Linked DNA regions of Macaca mulatta. The protein of the gene in region 1 purifies or fractionates together with the protein of each later gene. This does not show direct contact. Links are inferred from orthologs where the notes say so. Each region holds a gene or a part of one and is shown on either strand. Other genes may lie near its edges.

The links.
Region 2: the proteins of JAZF1 (region 1) and NR2C2 purify together in Homo sapiens (affinity purification with mass spectrometry; 4 studies listed by BioGRID and IntAct, with this or other methods). This does not show direct contact. The link is inferred for Macaca mulatta from reciprocal best matches to the Homo sapiens genes JAZF1 and NR2C2.

Annotation. Positions count from the first base shown.
Region 1 is NC_133408.1:100,162,361-100,170,967, reverse strand, and holds the start of JAZF1 (juxtaposed with another zinc finger protein 1), read right to left. Parts: upstream 5,324-8,607; 5' UTR 5,129-5,323; coding exon 5,014-5,128; exon of another isoform or gene 4,479-5,013; intron 1-4,478. UniProt on the Homo sapiens protein: Acts as a transcriptional corepressor of orphan nuclear receptor NR2C2. Inhibits expression of the gluconeogenesis enzyme PCK2 through inhibition of NR2C2 activity.
Region 2 is NC_133407.1:153,845,954-153,853,816, reverse strand, and holds part of NR2C2 (nuclear receptor subfamily 2 group C member 2), read right to left. Parts: intron 7,696-7,863; coding exon 7,558-7,695; intron 6,578-7,557; coding exon 6,472-6,577; intron 2,865-6,471; coding exon 2,690-2,864; 3' UTR 1-2,689. UniProt on the Homo sapiens protein: Orphan nuclear receptor that can act as a repressor or activator of transcription.

The DNA.
Region 1 (8,607 bases):
ACTTCACATATATTATCTCACTTAATCCTCATTAACCACTCCGTGAGATGGGTGCTGCTACTATCCTCATTTTACAGAGGAGGCACAGTACGGTTAATTTGTCCCTGGTCATACGGCTGACAAGTGGCAGACATGTGTGTTCAACCCCAAGCAGTCTGGGTTCACTATGCCACTGCTCAGATGACCTTCATGTGGAGTTCAGTTACTTTCTAAAGGAGGAAACACAGACCAATCGTGTGAGGGGAGGTGAGGAGGGGACTGTCGAGTTCTTCACCTAATTGGCAACTGGCATAGGCTCAGCTTTGCATACCTGTCTGGAATTCAAATCTCCAAATCATACAAACCAGCCACGAAAGCTTAGGCAATTATAAACTGTTCCTTAGTTTGCTCACCTAAAAGTGGGAGTAATAAGGGCCAATGACAGACTGTATGACTTATCTATTTAGTACACTGTGGTGCTCCTTTGAGAAGATAATGCAAATATTTACTAAATCATCTTAGGAGCTAAATTCTATATTTTTGATAGTAAGTGGCCTGATTTTTCTTTCCGGAAACTTTGACCTTTATTAATTAGATGGTTTATAAATCTATACTATGAAATGAAGCACTATAGCTTTATTACCTGGGTTTTGGAGATGAGGAAACTAACAAGTAGAGACTCACAACAAGAAACCTGTTGATATTTGGAGTTAAGAACCAAGTTATAGCTAATGCAAGCCATTCTTGGTCAGTGAGACTCTGCCCCTTAACTGGGCCCTTGCAGGGAAATCTCTTTCAATAGCAAAGCTGAGAGTCCTAACATCTGAGGAGAGTTCTGAATGACCTGCTAGTCTGGTACTATCACACGAATAACTGAATTGGGTCAGATTCCTGTGTTTCTATTCAAGTGGTGCAGTCCTGCCTTGGGGCCTGTGCACTGCTGGCTCCCGGAATGTCCTCACGGCTAACTCTCACACCTCCTTCGAGGTTTTGTCTCCCATATCAGCCTCTCGGCAAGGCCCACCCTGACCAATCTATTTAAAATTCCAATACCTTCTCCTCCCAACCCTCCAGACCCTGCTCTAGTTTTTCTCTTTTCTGTATCATTAACCACCTCCCAACATACTGTATATCACATACTTCAATTGTTTATTGTCCGGCCCCCTACCCTAGAATATAAACTTCCTAGAGTGGTATCTTCATTTTGTAAACCAAAAAATATCAAGTGCTCATAACTTTGCCTGGCATAAAGCAGGGACTCAATATATTATTACATAAATAAATTCAAAATGCAGAGGTACTTCTAAAAATGCACCAAATAAATAAGAATGATTCAACAGTTGTGTTTCTGAGACGAAAAGTCATACGATTTCACAGCACTGGGATGCAGGATTGCAGCAGGCATTTCATGGGCCTGGGGCATGACCTTCAGTGCTAAATTTAGTGCTCCTGGTGTTTCTAAGATTCCCGGTTACCAGTTTAACTTCATCTATCTAGGATGTTCATACCAAGAGTGTTTCTACAAACTCAAATACCTACTCAAAATAAGAAGCAAGCAAATCCGGACCTGCTTTTCCCACCTCCATGTAACAGACCCAGACCTATGAATGAATTGATAACAAAATTGATGGAGAAGCACTTCACAGTTGCAGGGCTATGGGATTTCTAGGCAATTTAAATTTAAGTGGGAATGGGGGACAGTTTTAGCTAGGATATTCAGTGTGTACACTGAGACAGGTACTCCAGTACTGAACCAGCAGTGAAATGCAAGAAAGAAAACAGGAATACCAGTACAGCACCCTTCCAGGAGGGAAAAGAGCTAAAACAGTGGATGGTGAAAATCACACTTCCCTTGGTGCCAAAGCCCCAAATCCTTGTTCATTATGGGGAGAGGAAAATAGTTAAAAACAAAAGTTAAGCATACACGTATAAGATAACAGAGAGTTATTCTCAACTTAATGTGCTTAATTAATCCAAACTAAACATAATACTTTGATAATGAAAAATACAGGCCTTGAAAAATCTGCCAAGCAAGAAACACACCACATTCCCATAAATGTTCATTTTATCGCTGTTTAAGGGTTTTTACTAGCGGCTAAAGGTAATAACCCAGATAGGCCCCCAAAATGGAACGCTCGACTAAGCATATCTCTAATACTCATGGTTGCTAAATAACAAGACTGCTTAACAAATTAAAAGCAAAATAACACATCTCTTATTTTTTTCCTGAATCTTTTTAAGGTAACCACTCACCAACAGACATGAAATCAGTAAGTCAATCATTAAAAATAACAGTCTCCAAACTCTTATAGATTGAATTACAAACGATAAATATCACATAACAATACCAGTCTAGAACTTTCACTAAATGCTTTATATTTTCACCCATGTCTCTTCATCAAAAGTGTATTATGACACTATCTACTAATCGGGATATTTTTATTCTTTCTTAAGATCAATTCTTACTTCTTTCTGCATATAGGGCTGCCTTTGATAGTAAAGGGCCTCTCCCCAGCAGAGGTGTATAATAGTTTGAGCCTCTTCATCCTGGGAATTGCAAGTGTTCATTCATTTTAACATTTGCTTTTCATAAAGTTTGCTGGTTCAAACTATTTTCAACTGTGTTAGCCCTGCGACACAGTTCGCCTAGGTCACTGCTATTGCTGTAAACTTAATTTTTTCATATTTTCACTATTAAAAGGACAACACTAGCCTTCTGGGAATGAGATAGCATTACTTCAAAGTTGAGTTTTAGAAAATGTATCGAACTCTTAACCTTCTTTAAAAAATGTGTGCAAAATATTAGGACAATTTCTACACTTAAAAAAACCTCATGACTCACCAAGTTTTAGACCATCTCATACAAACTCCTCAAGAAGGATAACTGTCTTTAACACATCTTAATAAATAGAATTTATACTGTCTTTTAACCAGCTTGTCTAAGTAGGCAGGCAATGGGGTAAAATTATTACTCAGCTTACATAAATTATAGTTTATTCTGAAATAACTGTTAGCAAGAATGAATGGGATATGCAATGACAGCCTTCCTTAAGTCAAGAGATATTTATTTATATTACTTATATCATACATATGAATTTATAGCATTATTTATATTTCTTATTTTTTACTTATTATTGGGAGTAAGGGGAAGAACTTAAACTAGTAACATTTCTACCAGAACTTCACAGTACTGGTGTTTTCGCTTTATTTTAAACTAGCCATCATGAAAAATCTGATTTAATACTTTAAAGCACTTTCAGTAATGACTATTCAATCACGATATGAATCAGCAAATTTGTTGCTCCATTAAACTGCTTTTAAGACTACCAAAACTTGCCCAGCTCTTCTGTCACACCTTTAGCAGAGGAAATGGAAGAAGCTATTACAAGGACACCTGAAAACTTGAAAAGTTTCAAAACGTGGACAATTACTCAACAGAATTTTCTTCTGAAAGACATTTTGTAGACGTTTCCCATGATTATCTCCTATTCCGGATGGCCCATCAAATCACATTCTAAACAGGCATTCAACACTTATTAAGCACCCACTGTGTGCAGAGACAGCACTATACTAAGCAAAGGAGCATAGGGTTCTGCCTCATTTTATTCCTGCATAAATACACAGCAGTCGTGATTTATTCTCTCAACTTTGTAGAAACGTGAGCTGCATCCACATGGCTGAATCCATGGCATTCATTTGGACTTCCTGGGGGCAATTTACAGTTTCTCTGGATTAGACAGCCCCATTGGGACACCACTCGGACCCTTCACCTTCCAGCCCACGCAGGACAATTCGCTGGCGTCGACCACACCTTCCGCAGGTGGTTGGACCGCCTGAGCCAGATGCACCCGGCCCACCTCCCTTAGCAGCGGTTCCGAATAGAAGTGTGAAAATGTGTGCAAGGACTTCTGCAAATCAGAGGATTTGTTGAAAGGTCCAGGGGTCCAGGCGTGAAGGGAAAGTAGCCACCCCGCGGGGCGCCCTCTCCCCGGCGTCCCCCGGGCCCGGGGCACTGCGCAGGCCGCCGCCGGTCCCAGGGCGCAGCCAGCGCACCTCGGGCCTAGCACCATTAGAAAGGCAAATCGCAGAGCCGGGGTGCATTTAAATCCCCGGCCATGGGCCCGGGGGGTGGCTCTCCAGCGGACGCTGCCGCAAGGGCCTCCAGGGCGCGTCGACCCCGGGGCGCTGGGCGCGGCCCGCGGGCGCACCCAAGACCTCAGCCCGCAGCGCCCGGGCGTCCGCGCCAGGCCGGGGCACGGGAGGGCACCCAGAGCCCCCGGGCCCGCGTCCCCGGCCCCGCCCGGGTCGCTCGGCCGCCTCCCAGAGAGAGGGCAAGCGCCCGGGCCCCCGCCCGCGGCCGCCGGCCCCGGCCCCCTCCCGATGCACCACACCTAGCAACCGGCGCTGACAGGACGCAGTGGCGGCGGCGGCGGCGGCGGGAGGAGGAAGCGGAATGGCTGCCGCGGTGGAGCCACCCCCGCCCCCCCGCTCCACCTCCCAGCGGCTGCAGCCGCCGCCGAGCCCTGACAGCTCGAGCCGGGGCGGAAGCGCCCGGCTGCGTGCAGCGCCCGCCCCCCGCTGCCCTCAGCGCCTCGGGCTGCTCCGACCACCCGGGCCAACTAACTCCGCGCCCCTGCCCAGCGCCCGGCGCCCGCCGCCCGCCGCGCCCTCCGCCCCGCGCCCCGCGAGCCGGCGCTCGGCCCCGCCGCCGCACCCCCCGCCGGCCCGCCGCGGCGCTCCCCGCTCCCACCACTTCGCAGCCCGCGTGCACGCCCCTGAGTCCCCCAGCCGCCAGCCCGCCCGCCCGCGGCACCTCGGGGCGCCCGCCCCCTCCCCCACCCCACCCCAGACCGCTCCCCGCCCCCCCGGCACCTCGCGTCCCCGCATCCCGCCACCCCCACCTCGGGGCTCGCACGCGCCCTCCCCGGCCCGCTGCCTCCCTCCCTGCGGGCCACCCCTGGCCATTCCGGGGCTCCCCGCCCAGGCAGGAGTTTCCGCGCGCCTGGCACCTCCGCCCACCCCCGGGCCATTTACCGATGTGGTTGTCCTCGATGTGCTCGATGAGGTCGGCCAGGGTGGGGAAGTGGAGTCCGCAGCCCCCGAATCGGCAGGTATTGGAGAAGAAGGAGGCGGCGGCGATGCCTGTCATGGTGCTACATCGAGAGCCCCCCTGGTGTCGGCTCTGCGAGCGCCGGGCGGGCGAGGGAGGGAGGGAGGCCGGGTGGGGTGAGGAGAGGAGGGGCTGGGGGAGGGGGAGAGAGGCGGGGTGAGGGGAGCGGCGAGGACGGGACGGAGGGAGAGGGGGCGAGAGAGATGGAAGGAGAGCAAGGAGCCACCGGGAGGCAGAGGGGAGGCGGCGGCTGCGGCGGCGGCGTCGGGAGCGGCGCGGGGAGGGCGGGGGCGGGGGCGGGGGGGAGGCCGCCGCAGCTGGGAGGAGGGACCAGGGCGCGCGGCTACAGCTGTGCGGCCCCAACCTCAGCGCCCGGACCCAGGCCTCACCTGCGAGCCCTGCCACCAACTTTATCTCGCTAGGCCTGCCCTTTACAGCTTGCGATCCGTGCCATCTGTTTGGAGCCTCCTTGGTTATGTATATGACGTTCTTAATGCACCCACATGGATTAATTACACCTACCTTCCTGCGAGGAGAACTCAGGGAGTTACCCTGGCCCCTCTCGGGGACATTTTTTTGTACTCAGCCACCTGTCTAGGTGTGACACATTCACAGGGGACCCGGGAAAGGTAATTGTGTGCACCTTCTTCTTTAAACCTTCTTTAGAAAAAGTCTGCATTCTCCGGAGGTTTGTACTAATTGATTTTAATGAAGCTTCCCTCTAGGCCAGAAGAAAATCTTAGCTTTATTTAAATTTCAAAATAGAGTGCTTGGTTGTCAAGTGCATTTGCCTGTGTTTTACATATGTACCACGTTTTTTATACTCCCTGCTCCTTCTAGGAAAACAAAAGCTAAAATAATTTAATCACCCGAAATTACAGCACCCCACTGCACCCACTCCACCATCTCAGGTGTGGTAATTAACCCAACCTCGTTTCAGCCACGGCAGAAAGGACGGTGCATTGGTTAAGGCTAGAAGGAATGGAAACAACGGCGAGGGAAATGGTGACTCTTATTTAAAAAGGAAGCGATTTCGTCCTGTGAGCATTTAAACCATAATGTTGACCAGGTAACCACTTAAGTTGAATTTAGTAGCTTCCCTGAAAACCAGCATTTTGCTGATTATCAATTACTTTCTGGTCCCCACCCCCTCCTCCAGTTGCAGTCATATTTCTGCTGTAAAGTGTCTATTTGCCATAGCAGTTTTCAGGTGCCTAAGAAATACTACACATTATCAGCAGTTTATGACCCAACAGTACATTTTTTATTAATATTAATATGTGCATACTGAATTTAGTATTTTTCCTTACGGCAAATTTCACTTACCCTCTGGTGCAGATAAATGGAGAAATAGTATTCCTCCCTCCATAAACTCTATGCATCCCTATCTAGTGTTATTTCTAATAATGGGATTGTTTGCTTTTCATGCAAGTTCTTAGAGTAAAGGTACATGTAATATGTCTGTTGCTACAGGAAGTTTTATGATCTGACCATCACGGGTATCATTTTCTCTTCTCATCTCTTCTGTCTTACAGCTCACAAGGTGACAAACTTTTGCTGAGATGAGATTTGGCTTGGGTGGGGCTGGGGCAGCTGTGTCTTGAAGTTCAGTTTGGTGCCAAGAATGGTTTCGTGGTCCCAATGAGGGAGGGGGCAGGGCCCTGGTGGGCCTGATAATGAGCCAGGGACCCAGTTGGCAGGGGACTGAGGCCAAGGCCAGACAAGGGTCTAAAGAGCAGGAGTTAGAATTCTAGATCTTGAATTAGAATTTTGGCAGCTGTGCAGTACATTCAGCTGCCCAATCTGGGAAGGCCTTCAACTGAGAGCAGGCAGAATATCTGGCAGGCACACATCACACCGAATGACATGGAAATGCAATACAAAAACTTCAGCCAAAAATGGTGCCAAAACAGCCACTCTTAGAGATGAGTGTGAGGCACCCCCACTGTGCAGCATCTGGGAGCCCCAATAGCTTTGAAGAAGTAGCAATTCTGTCCTCCGGAGGAAAAATTGTCTATATGGAGTTATTAACTCCCAAGAGTGTGGAGAGGTGGTTCAGGCAACAAAGTTCCAAGATGGAAAGTGCCGGAAATGTGCAGGTGAAAGATGAAGGAAGTAAGGGGCCTGGGTTTCACTAATGCATGGCTTTCTACTACCTCCTGTCAGTTTCACTATTCCTAAAATAAAACCTTGCTAGACCAAATTGAAAAAATAGATTTTTTTTTTAAATGAAGTGAGCTAAAATAACTTCCGAAGTAAATCAAGATTTTGATTTTTAAGACAAAATTATTTTCTCTACCTTGGATAATTATTACTATTTTATAAGGAATCAGTTCATTTTGCCTGAAAATAATCCACCCTACTACTTCTTCATATATGACTGAAGCTTTGTTTATGTGTCATTCTGCTTATACTAGTTTTTAAAAATCTGTATACTCTAGGCATTTCTGGTCTTTGTATAAGATACATGATTATGATCTCTTAGATCTGGAAGATGCTCTGGCTGTCAGAACCACTGGTTTTGGAAATGTGGTAAACTGACGCCAGGGGCATCAAGCAAGTTCTCCCAGGTGCACACAGTTTTTTCTCTGTACTCGTGGTGCATTTAGAAGGCATTGATAAACAATAGAAGGACAAATATATAGATAGTAACCACATGCAAAGTTTTTAAAAAATTGCTAATAGCATGCTTACCTTTCTGTACTTACATTTTTAAAGTGTTTGTTTCAAGGATACTCCTTTAGATAAAGTCAACATCTAAGCTACAAAAATATATAAAACAAACAATTCAACTTATTGCATCTGAGAGAGAAGGTGATGACTGACATACCTCTGTACTTGCAAAAAACATTTATCTGTCTGATTTGGGAAGTAAAAATATTTGAAAGGAGAGGGACAGTGAGGGAACTGAGAAGTCAGAATGATATGACAGTGGCTGTAGACAAGAAGCATTCTCTGGGTTTAAGAGCCTTCCTTGAAAACATGTGTCTCTCCCCAGAGCCTAGTGCCTCCCAATGTGTAGGCACAAAGTATGGATGTGCAGTGGCCCCACAGTGTGGTACTTAGCATTACAAATGGTTTGAGATCCCATAACAGTCTCTCCAAATCCAGCATGTCCAGTGCCCTCGAGATGGGGCAGCTGCCGGAAGGTGTGAATCCACTGGTCTAATGGAGCCAACTGAAGACACTGAGGATCCTGCTTCATACAGCTGTCTGTCCTCCACATGCAGGAATTGGTTTATTTTGGCATACCCTGATAATCAAAACCGTGCACTTCCTGTGTCCTGTGTGGACATCTGTTAACGATGCAAGAGGATCTATATGAACATTAGATTCTATCTTGAATCTAACTCTATACTGCCTTCAACTCTAGCTTTCTCTGGCTTTTTAGATTGTTTTCCAGGTCCCTCTTGAGGTGCTTTTCAGGTTTACTAGATATTTCTTCTGTTGTCACCACTGTGTCGAATGAGCAGATCATGAATCTCGGTCTTCTTCAGCTCATGCAAGTCTGTGGACAC
Region 2 (7,863 bases), on another chromosome or scaffold:
AGCCCAAATATTTGGTTTGCATCTCTTTAAGTAATTCTTGACTTTGGGCTGACTTTCCTTAACCAACCTGATGGGAGATGAAATGGACCTGCAGTCAAAGGCTTGAAATGAGTTCAAGCAACAAGAATTCAGGTTATGCGGACATGATCCTTAAAGAAAAGGCCACTTCAAAGTAAAGCCAAGAGGATCTCAGAAACCAACCAAGAGGTGTTCAAAGCCAAAACAGTCCCTGGAATCAGCCATCACCAGCAAAGGGACTGAAAGAGCAGGCCCAGGTTAGAATCAGCACCTTTCCAAGCAAAATCATGTTTTCTGCAAGGCTGTTTCAGCAGAGCCCAACACTTCCTCATCCAACGTGAGTCTAAGAGGCCTACTGGCTGCCACTGAATGACCTGGGAATGAGAGGAGGGGCTGGTGGAGACCTTTTCACCAACACCAAGAACTGGGATCTGAAAGCTATTATGCTTGTATTCCCAGGGAACTGCAACATGGCCCTCATGGTCACTCTCAAGAATCAAAATGACGGAAGGCAGGCAACAATCTGTGTTAGAGGCACGGCTGAGCTTCAGAATGCCTGCTACTAAAATCCTTCACAAACAAGAAATGAAACAAACCTGCCCTAATTCCATTGTCTCAGCTGGTTTTTTGTCTTAATTTTGAAACTGAAAACATCAGGGTTAGAAAAGTAAAAAATTACTTTAAGCTGGCAAAATTAAATCCTTCCCATCATTTTATAATGGCCACCCCCACTACTCCCCAAAATTTGTTGCCACGGCAAGAATTATAAAATGATATAATTAAATCCAAATAAGAATTTAGAAGTTGGAGACACTGTTCTCACTTACCCTACTAACAATGACTTGCATAAAGTGCTGCTAACCCTTCAGGATCAAGCATCCTGTTCTGCCTTGAGCCTGCGGCAGCTTCCATTCTGTCCAGTGTAGCTCCACAGGGGCATCTGTAGCTGGCTAGACTGCACCCCTGTGGAGCACATGTGTGGCACCAGCCTCAGCCAGATCAGAGCCCCTGTGAGGCAGGGGAGTGTCCAGGGATCTTTTTGGATATCATCTGATTAACAAATCAAGAGGGGCAAATTTAACCCAACAGGGTGTATTTTCTTAATCTGGACTATTTAAAAAGAAAAGACAAGGCAATTGACCTGGTCTTCCACATGCCACTTTTCTCAAACAGAAATAGCTTGCTATACATTCACATCCATGGGAATTTATGGGTGTTTGCAGTTAGACATAACTGCCTTTTAAGCACGTATTCTGTTCTTGCTATAAACTCTGGTTGCTATAATTTATGAGGAGAAAGACTATCACCGTGGAAATTAAGGGTTGTTTTTAAGGAGCAAGCAGTCTGCATTTAAAATGCTCCAGGGTAGTCGGCAGGCACACACCTGGGGGAACCAAAGTGCACAGAGTGCTGGGAACATTAACAGACTTGCCAGCAGAGATGCCAAGTCTACACACATTTTTAAAATCTCTGGTATTTAAGGTCAACAGGAAGAAACTGTCCTGAAACCTTCCATCCAGCTTTACCAAGCCCTGACCACTCTGGCCAGCCCCACAGTTCTGATGGAGCTGCAGAAACACAAGTCCTTTTCAAGGGGGCATTTGGAGTGGAAAGCCCTGGGAAGGTAACCCTCACACTCCAAGGCCACACTCTCCATCTGGACAAACACGCAAGCACCCCCAATTGTATTGGAAGTACTGTCAAGGGCTCAAAATGCCCACCTTGCGCTTTCTGGTCACAAGGCTCCATCTGCCATGAGCAGTGGATGTGACTTGGGGATGTTTTCACTTGCTGGAGGAATTGTACATCTCATTTGGCAGTTAATGTCTGACTAGTTGCAATCCAATTCAGATAACCAGTCATCAGAGGAGAACCCCAGGTTCTAGAGGAGTCTGCAGATGCCCATCAGAGACCAGGACCAAGTAGTCAGGGAACCTGACAAGTGTCTGCTCTATGGCTAGAAGCTTCTGGACTGGGTCACCACCGACTGTGCTACCACACGCCCACTTACTGCATGATGCAAATGAGCCACGTTTCCATTCACAGAATTCAGCTCAACTCCACAACATGTGCACACAATTAGGAATGATGCCTTCTTTTCTTAAACATAAATGATTGTCTCCTGTACCCTAGTGAGTTTTCACAGAAACCATTAGCATTTCGGCAAAAGACATATACAGTTTTCCATTTGCCCTGCCCACAGGCAAGATGTTGCTAACATTACACATTGATAAGTGCTTAGAAAGTGCTAATATTATTACCCTGGTAATTAGTATCTATAATTCCAAGGACATTTTTTATATATATATACACACATACTATTCTCTTAGGTTCTTTCAGTTTTCTTTAATACTAGTCTCTGACGTTATAAAACCTTTTTTTTTTTTTTTTTTTTGCCCTTTGAGAATTTCTAAATACAAATTGAGTTAAAAGATTGCTCCAAAATCTGCTGCTTCATCAAAAGGCATTAAAACATTTCTTATGTCAGGAAAGGATCCTACTAGTCTTTTCATTGCCATTGTCTGGGATTAACAGATAAGAAGAAACCAGACAGGAAACGGCTAACATATGGAAATATTTGCACATACCAAAATACCACTACTTTTCTTTTCTTTGTATGTGAACGGTCCCGGTAGGATTCTGTTGCTCCTTGGCAGATGTGTGGTGTGTACTATAGACTGGCTCCGGTGATCTGGCCATTATACTCTGCTGTCTCCATCTTGAGGATGTAGGGGATTATGCTGTCTATCGAAACATTGCCAATGAGGCCAGTAAAAAAAAGTTCTTCTGTTATGTTGGAGCTCATCAGCCTGAGTGCCGGCAGGCGAACGAGGATCCGGGCCAATCTGTAAAAGGGAGCGTCATTAGAAAAGGAGACTGTTTGATGCCCTTCAACCACAGCTCAGCACAGGCTCCTGGGGCCCTGTCTGTATTGCACAGAATCAAACCAAATGGATCCACCATCCACCCACCTCTTTTTTCTGATTTCAACAGTTCCTCTAATAGAAATTTATCATGAGAAAAAAACCAAACGAGTACAAAATGTATGTACAGATATGTTCCCTTCACTCTTGTTTATTCCAACTCTCCTCACCCCCACCGAAAAGAGAAAACCTGGAAATTCATCAACAGAGGACAGGTTAAAATAAACTAGGAGTCTTCATATGATGAACTGCTAAAGACTCATTTAAAAAACGATAATACAAATCTGTATTTACTGATCAGGAAAGACATCCATGACATGTTGCTCAATAAAAATTTAAAGGAGATTATAAAACAGCAAGTATAGATGTGTACATAAAGTACTGGGAAAATGTCCACCACAATGCTAACAGTTGGGCTCTAGGTATTGGGATTTGAGGTGATTTTTTTCTTATTTTTTGTACTGCCCTAATTTTCAGTGTCCCTTTAGCATTATAAATAAAGCAGTAAAATAGCTTTCATTTTGAAGAAACTTGGGGTGGAGGGTGCACCACGACACTGCCCTGGAGGGCCACTGAACACTGTGTATCTCAAGTGTCCCATGTGACCAGGCCATTTCCCAGCCAGGACTGCATCCCAGGCGAACAAGTGAAGCATGTGCCAGGATGCTACTGCAGAGTCATGTGTGACAGCCCAAACTGGAAACACCCTACCGTTTCATTAGCAGGGAAATAGGAACCACAGAAAATGAAGAAGAGTATGTATTGTTATTGTATATTACATGAAAAAAGGTTACAAAACCTTTGGTATTTTATGATCCCAATTATAATACATAAAAAATTTCTGGAAGTGAATACGCAAAATGTTAATAGTAGGTATCTCTGGATAGTGCTTTTTTTGTTTGTTTTTGTTTTTTATTTTGAGACAGCGTCTTGCTCTGTCATCCAGGCTGCAGTGGAGTGACGTGATCACAGTTCACTGCAACCTCAACCTCCCAGGCTCAAGTCATCCTCCCACCTCAGACTCCTGAGTAGCTGGGACTACAGGTGCACACTACTACATTTGGCTAATTTTTCATTTTTTTCTCGTAGAGATGGGGTCTCACTATGTAGCCCAGGGTGGTTTCAAAGTCCTGGGCTCAAACAATCTTGCTGCCTCAGCCTCCCAAAGTGTGGAAATTATAGGTGTGAGTCACCATGCCCTGCATGCTTTTTTAAAAAAAGTTTTTTAATAGTGCTTTTTAAAAAGTTTTCTTTTCCCTTTCTAGAACATTCTAAGTTTTTCTACAGTGAATACTACTTATTTTTAAAATGGGAAAATGTATTCATACTACGCAGGTAGCATTCCAGCATCAGCATCCATTCACTCAGCCACAATGAGTCACTGTGCTTCAATCTTGCAGGGCACACAAAGGTGTAAGAGACCTGCCATTTCAGCTGGGCCTTAGGGGCTGGCTAAGATTTCTATCAGCAGAGATACAAAGAATGGGGAGGGATGGGAGGTATTTCAGGAGGAATAATCAATATGAGAAAAGGCACAAGGATGGGGAAGAGTCAAACATGGATATTCCAGATAGTAAATACCAAGATAAAGAAAAAAATGAATATGCAAATAGGATGTAAAACACTCTAGGGCCTTTTCTTTCAGAACTCTCTCTGAGTGAATTTCTGAGCCCTATAAGAAAGCCTCCCTTATCATTTTGGGCTCCAAGTAACCTGTCATCACCCTAACCAACCCTGGGTCCCTGACTGGACAGGAGTGACTCATGTTTTCAGACACATTATATCTACTTTCCAAGGCAACAGAATTGCTGATATTAAAGTGATTCTAGAGTGTGCTGTGGCTCTGTCAGCAGCCCCAGAGGGCCATTTCCAGCCATCTTTTGGCCATGGGAACTGTGGGTGAGCAGGCCTGTGGCCTCCTAGGAGGACAACCTGACTGCACACTTGGCTAGATGTATAAATTCTGGGTGTGGGTGCATTCCCTGACAGTCCCATTCTCTATGTATTGAGGCTGAAGTTATTCTAGATTCATGATGAAGTCTTCGATGATTCCAGTAGAAAATGGATCTTGCTTTTGTAAAAGCCACATCTGGGCAATAGAAGTATGCCAAAAGGAGAAGCAGGCTCTTGTCTACCAGCAGGACCAGTCAGCCATAAGATACCCCCAGTCACACCAGAGAAATGGCTGGGACTGTCCTGGTTTTAGCGCTGAAAGACTAAGAGCTGGTTACTCTGCTGGGGGGCAAAATCATTTCTTTTGAGAAGCACTGGGCCAGAAGGGGTAGCCCCCAGGGGCATCTCTGTTCCATGGGGCTCCTGGAGACTGAGGTCTGTGCAGAGGACACACGTCTGGGGAAGGTGGGCCCGTGTGTCTTCCCAGGCTGTCAATTTTGTTCCAGTGTTTATTTTAGGGGGACATGGTGGGGAGGGAAATAGGAAATACTTTACTTGAAAGGGTCTCAGAAATTCATGTAGCTTCTGGTGGGTCAGAAGTTGTCATAGGAAAGCACTCTTCCATCTTTGGCTGGAAAGCCTGCCAATGCATTCTGACCTTTGGCAGATCTGAACAATTTTCCTGCCTAAAACGGCATGAGAAAGGCTTTTTTTTTTTTTTTTGAGACGGAGTCTCACTCTGTCGCTCAGGCTGGAGTGCAGTGGCATGATCTCAGTTCACTGCAACCTCTGCCCACCCCGCCAGGTTCAAGCGATTCTCCTGCCTCAGCCTCCCCAGTAGCTGGGATTACAGGCGCCTGCCACGGTGCCCGGCTAATTTTTTTTTTTTGTATTTTTAGTAGAGATGGGGTTTCACCATCTTGGCCAGGCTGGTCTTGAACTCCTGACCTCGTGATCCACCCGCCTTGGCCTCCCAAAGTGCTGGGATTACAGGCGTGAGCCATCACACCTGGCCCTAATTTTTATACATATATTTTTGCTGCACATTAATTACAAATACTACCACTAATTTTCACCCAAATAAACTTTTTTCCATCAGTTTATCTGAGGGCAAAATGACTTTATGTAACTCATCCACTCCTTTATGGGGTCAGATTTGATTTCTGTCAACAAGAACTTTTCTGTCAAGTACTCTAGCACTGCCTCTTCAATGGATGCTGACCAGAGAAGCAGATCTGTCAAACTATTCTAGACAAGGGAATCTCCATGAGAACTCAAGCCTCATGTACAGTGTTAGCCCTAGAACAGGCCACGTAGCATCTGCTCCAACTCCTCCAATTAAAGAGTAGCAATCTGAGGCCTCACTCACAGTCACACAGCAACACTGGAATCAGCCACAGTCTTGGCCCTCCTGCTGGCACCGTCTACACTCTACACCACCTCTAGCATTCAAGAATTATCTCTAGCTCTTGGGAGCTAGGAAAAAACAAAGAAAACTCAAGAATTAGAGTGTGATCCACTGGAGGCTCTATCAGGCTGCTAAAAATGGAAAGGTTAACATAATTTATATTAGAAACTACAAACCCAGCCACATTCCTTGCGGCCCCAAGCAAGAGTGCATGCCTGAATGCCTCACCGGTAGGTGTCTTCCGAGTAGGTTTTCTGAACATAGTCCTGCAACTCCATCTGTGCCTTTTCTTGGAATTTTTCAATCTGGCTTGTGCTGGTCAAACCTGGATGATCTGAAAACAGAAAAGTTACCCCCCTCCAATTCCCTTTGTATTTGAAAAGTCTCATTTGCAGACTTCTTAGTATTTTTAGTCAAACGTCTGCAAACTTCTTAAGTATAACAAATTGAACTCAAAGACTGATCTAATTTGGGTATTATTAGAACGCTGGCTTTTCCTCTGTTTTCTGCCCAGGCCTAAAGTTCCTGGGAGGGGGTTGGGGACCCTGAGTGGATGCCAGTCTGAGCAGCCCCACATGGATGGTTCTGGACATCTGGCTTCCTACTACCTTAGAAAATACAGTTTTAAAAACTATCGCATAAAATTAGAAATTGTCGTTTACTTTCTAAATATTTAATTATAAAATTTGTCCCAATTTTACTAGCTATTTTGTTATTTGTGAGTGGAGGGCTGGGAAAGAAGAGAAGAAGGTGAAGCTGTGTCCAACCCCTACTGTGAGGTGAACGATGAGCCTAAGTAACTTTTCTAGAGGCCTTGAGAGGAGTGAGGCTGCCTCTTCATCTCCTGTGAACATACCTTTTAGCATGCTCTGCAGCAGCTGCTGCTACTGCTATACACAGTCTGTGGGCAAACAGGTGGAGCTTCAATGTGTACTGGATTATATGTGCTAACAAAGCTTTGAAACTGGCAAAGGGCCAAAATAAATAAATAAATAAAAAGAAAGGACATCGGGTGGTAGCACACTTTTGTTTTATATGGTGTAATCTTGTTTGGCCAATGGTTTCATTAGGACACAGATTAAATCTATTCAGTGTGTGACATCATCAGGCACTGCAGCATATTTCTTTGGGGCTATAAAGGCAAGAATTTAAAAACGTTTATGTATTTATCTAGCAAAACACCTATCGTAAGAACACTAGGTCACATATAATCTGCAGGCCTCTTTCTACACCACTGATGGCAACATGTTCATGTTCAGAAACATCAGTAGATACAGGTGGAAAAGGGTCATGCGTCCCCACCGCATATCTTACCGGGGCTAAAGAGAACTATAGCTTTAAGGTATGCATACTCATAGCCATCTATATCCAGCTTCGCCATGCTGTTACAGAACTCCTGCAGCTTCCAGATGTGCTCCATGACTTGCTTTATCCGGTCACCAGAAAGTTTATCTAGAAACCAATATCACAGATCCTCTGAGAAAGGCTGGTAAGAACAATAAAACCAGCTTATCTGAGGGACCACAGATGGAAAGAAATGGGACCATTTCACTTTTTAATGAAAAAGCAGTAATCTCAAGATGAACAAGAGCTTCATTTTCCAGCTGCAGGTGAAGTGAC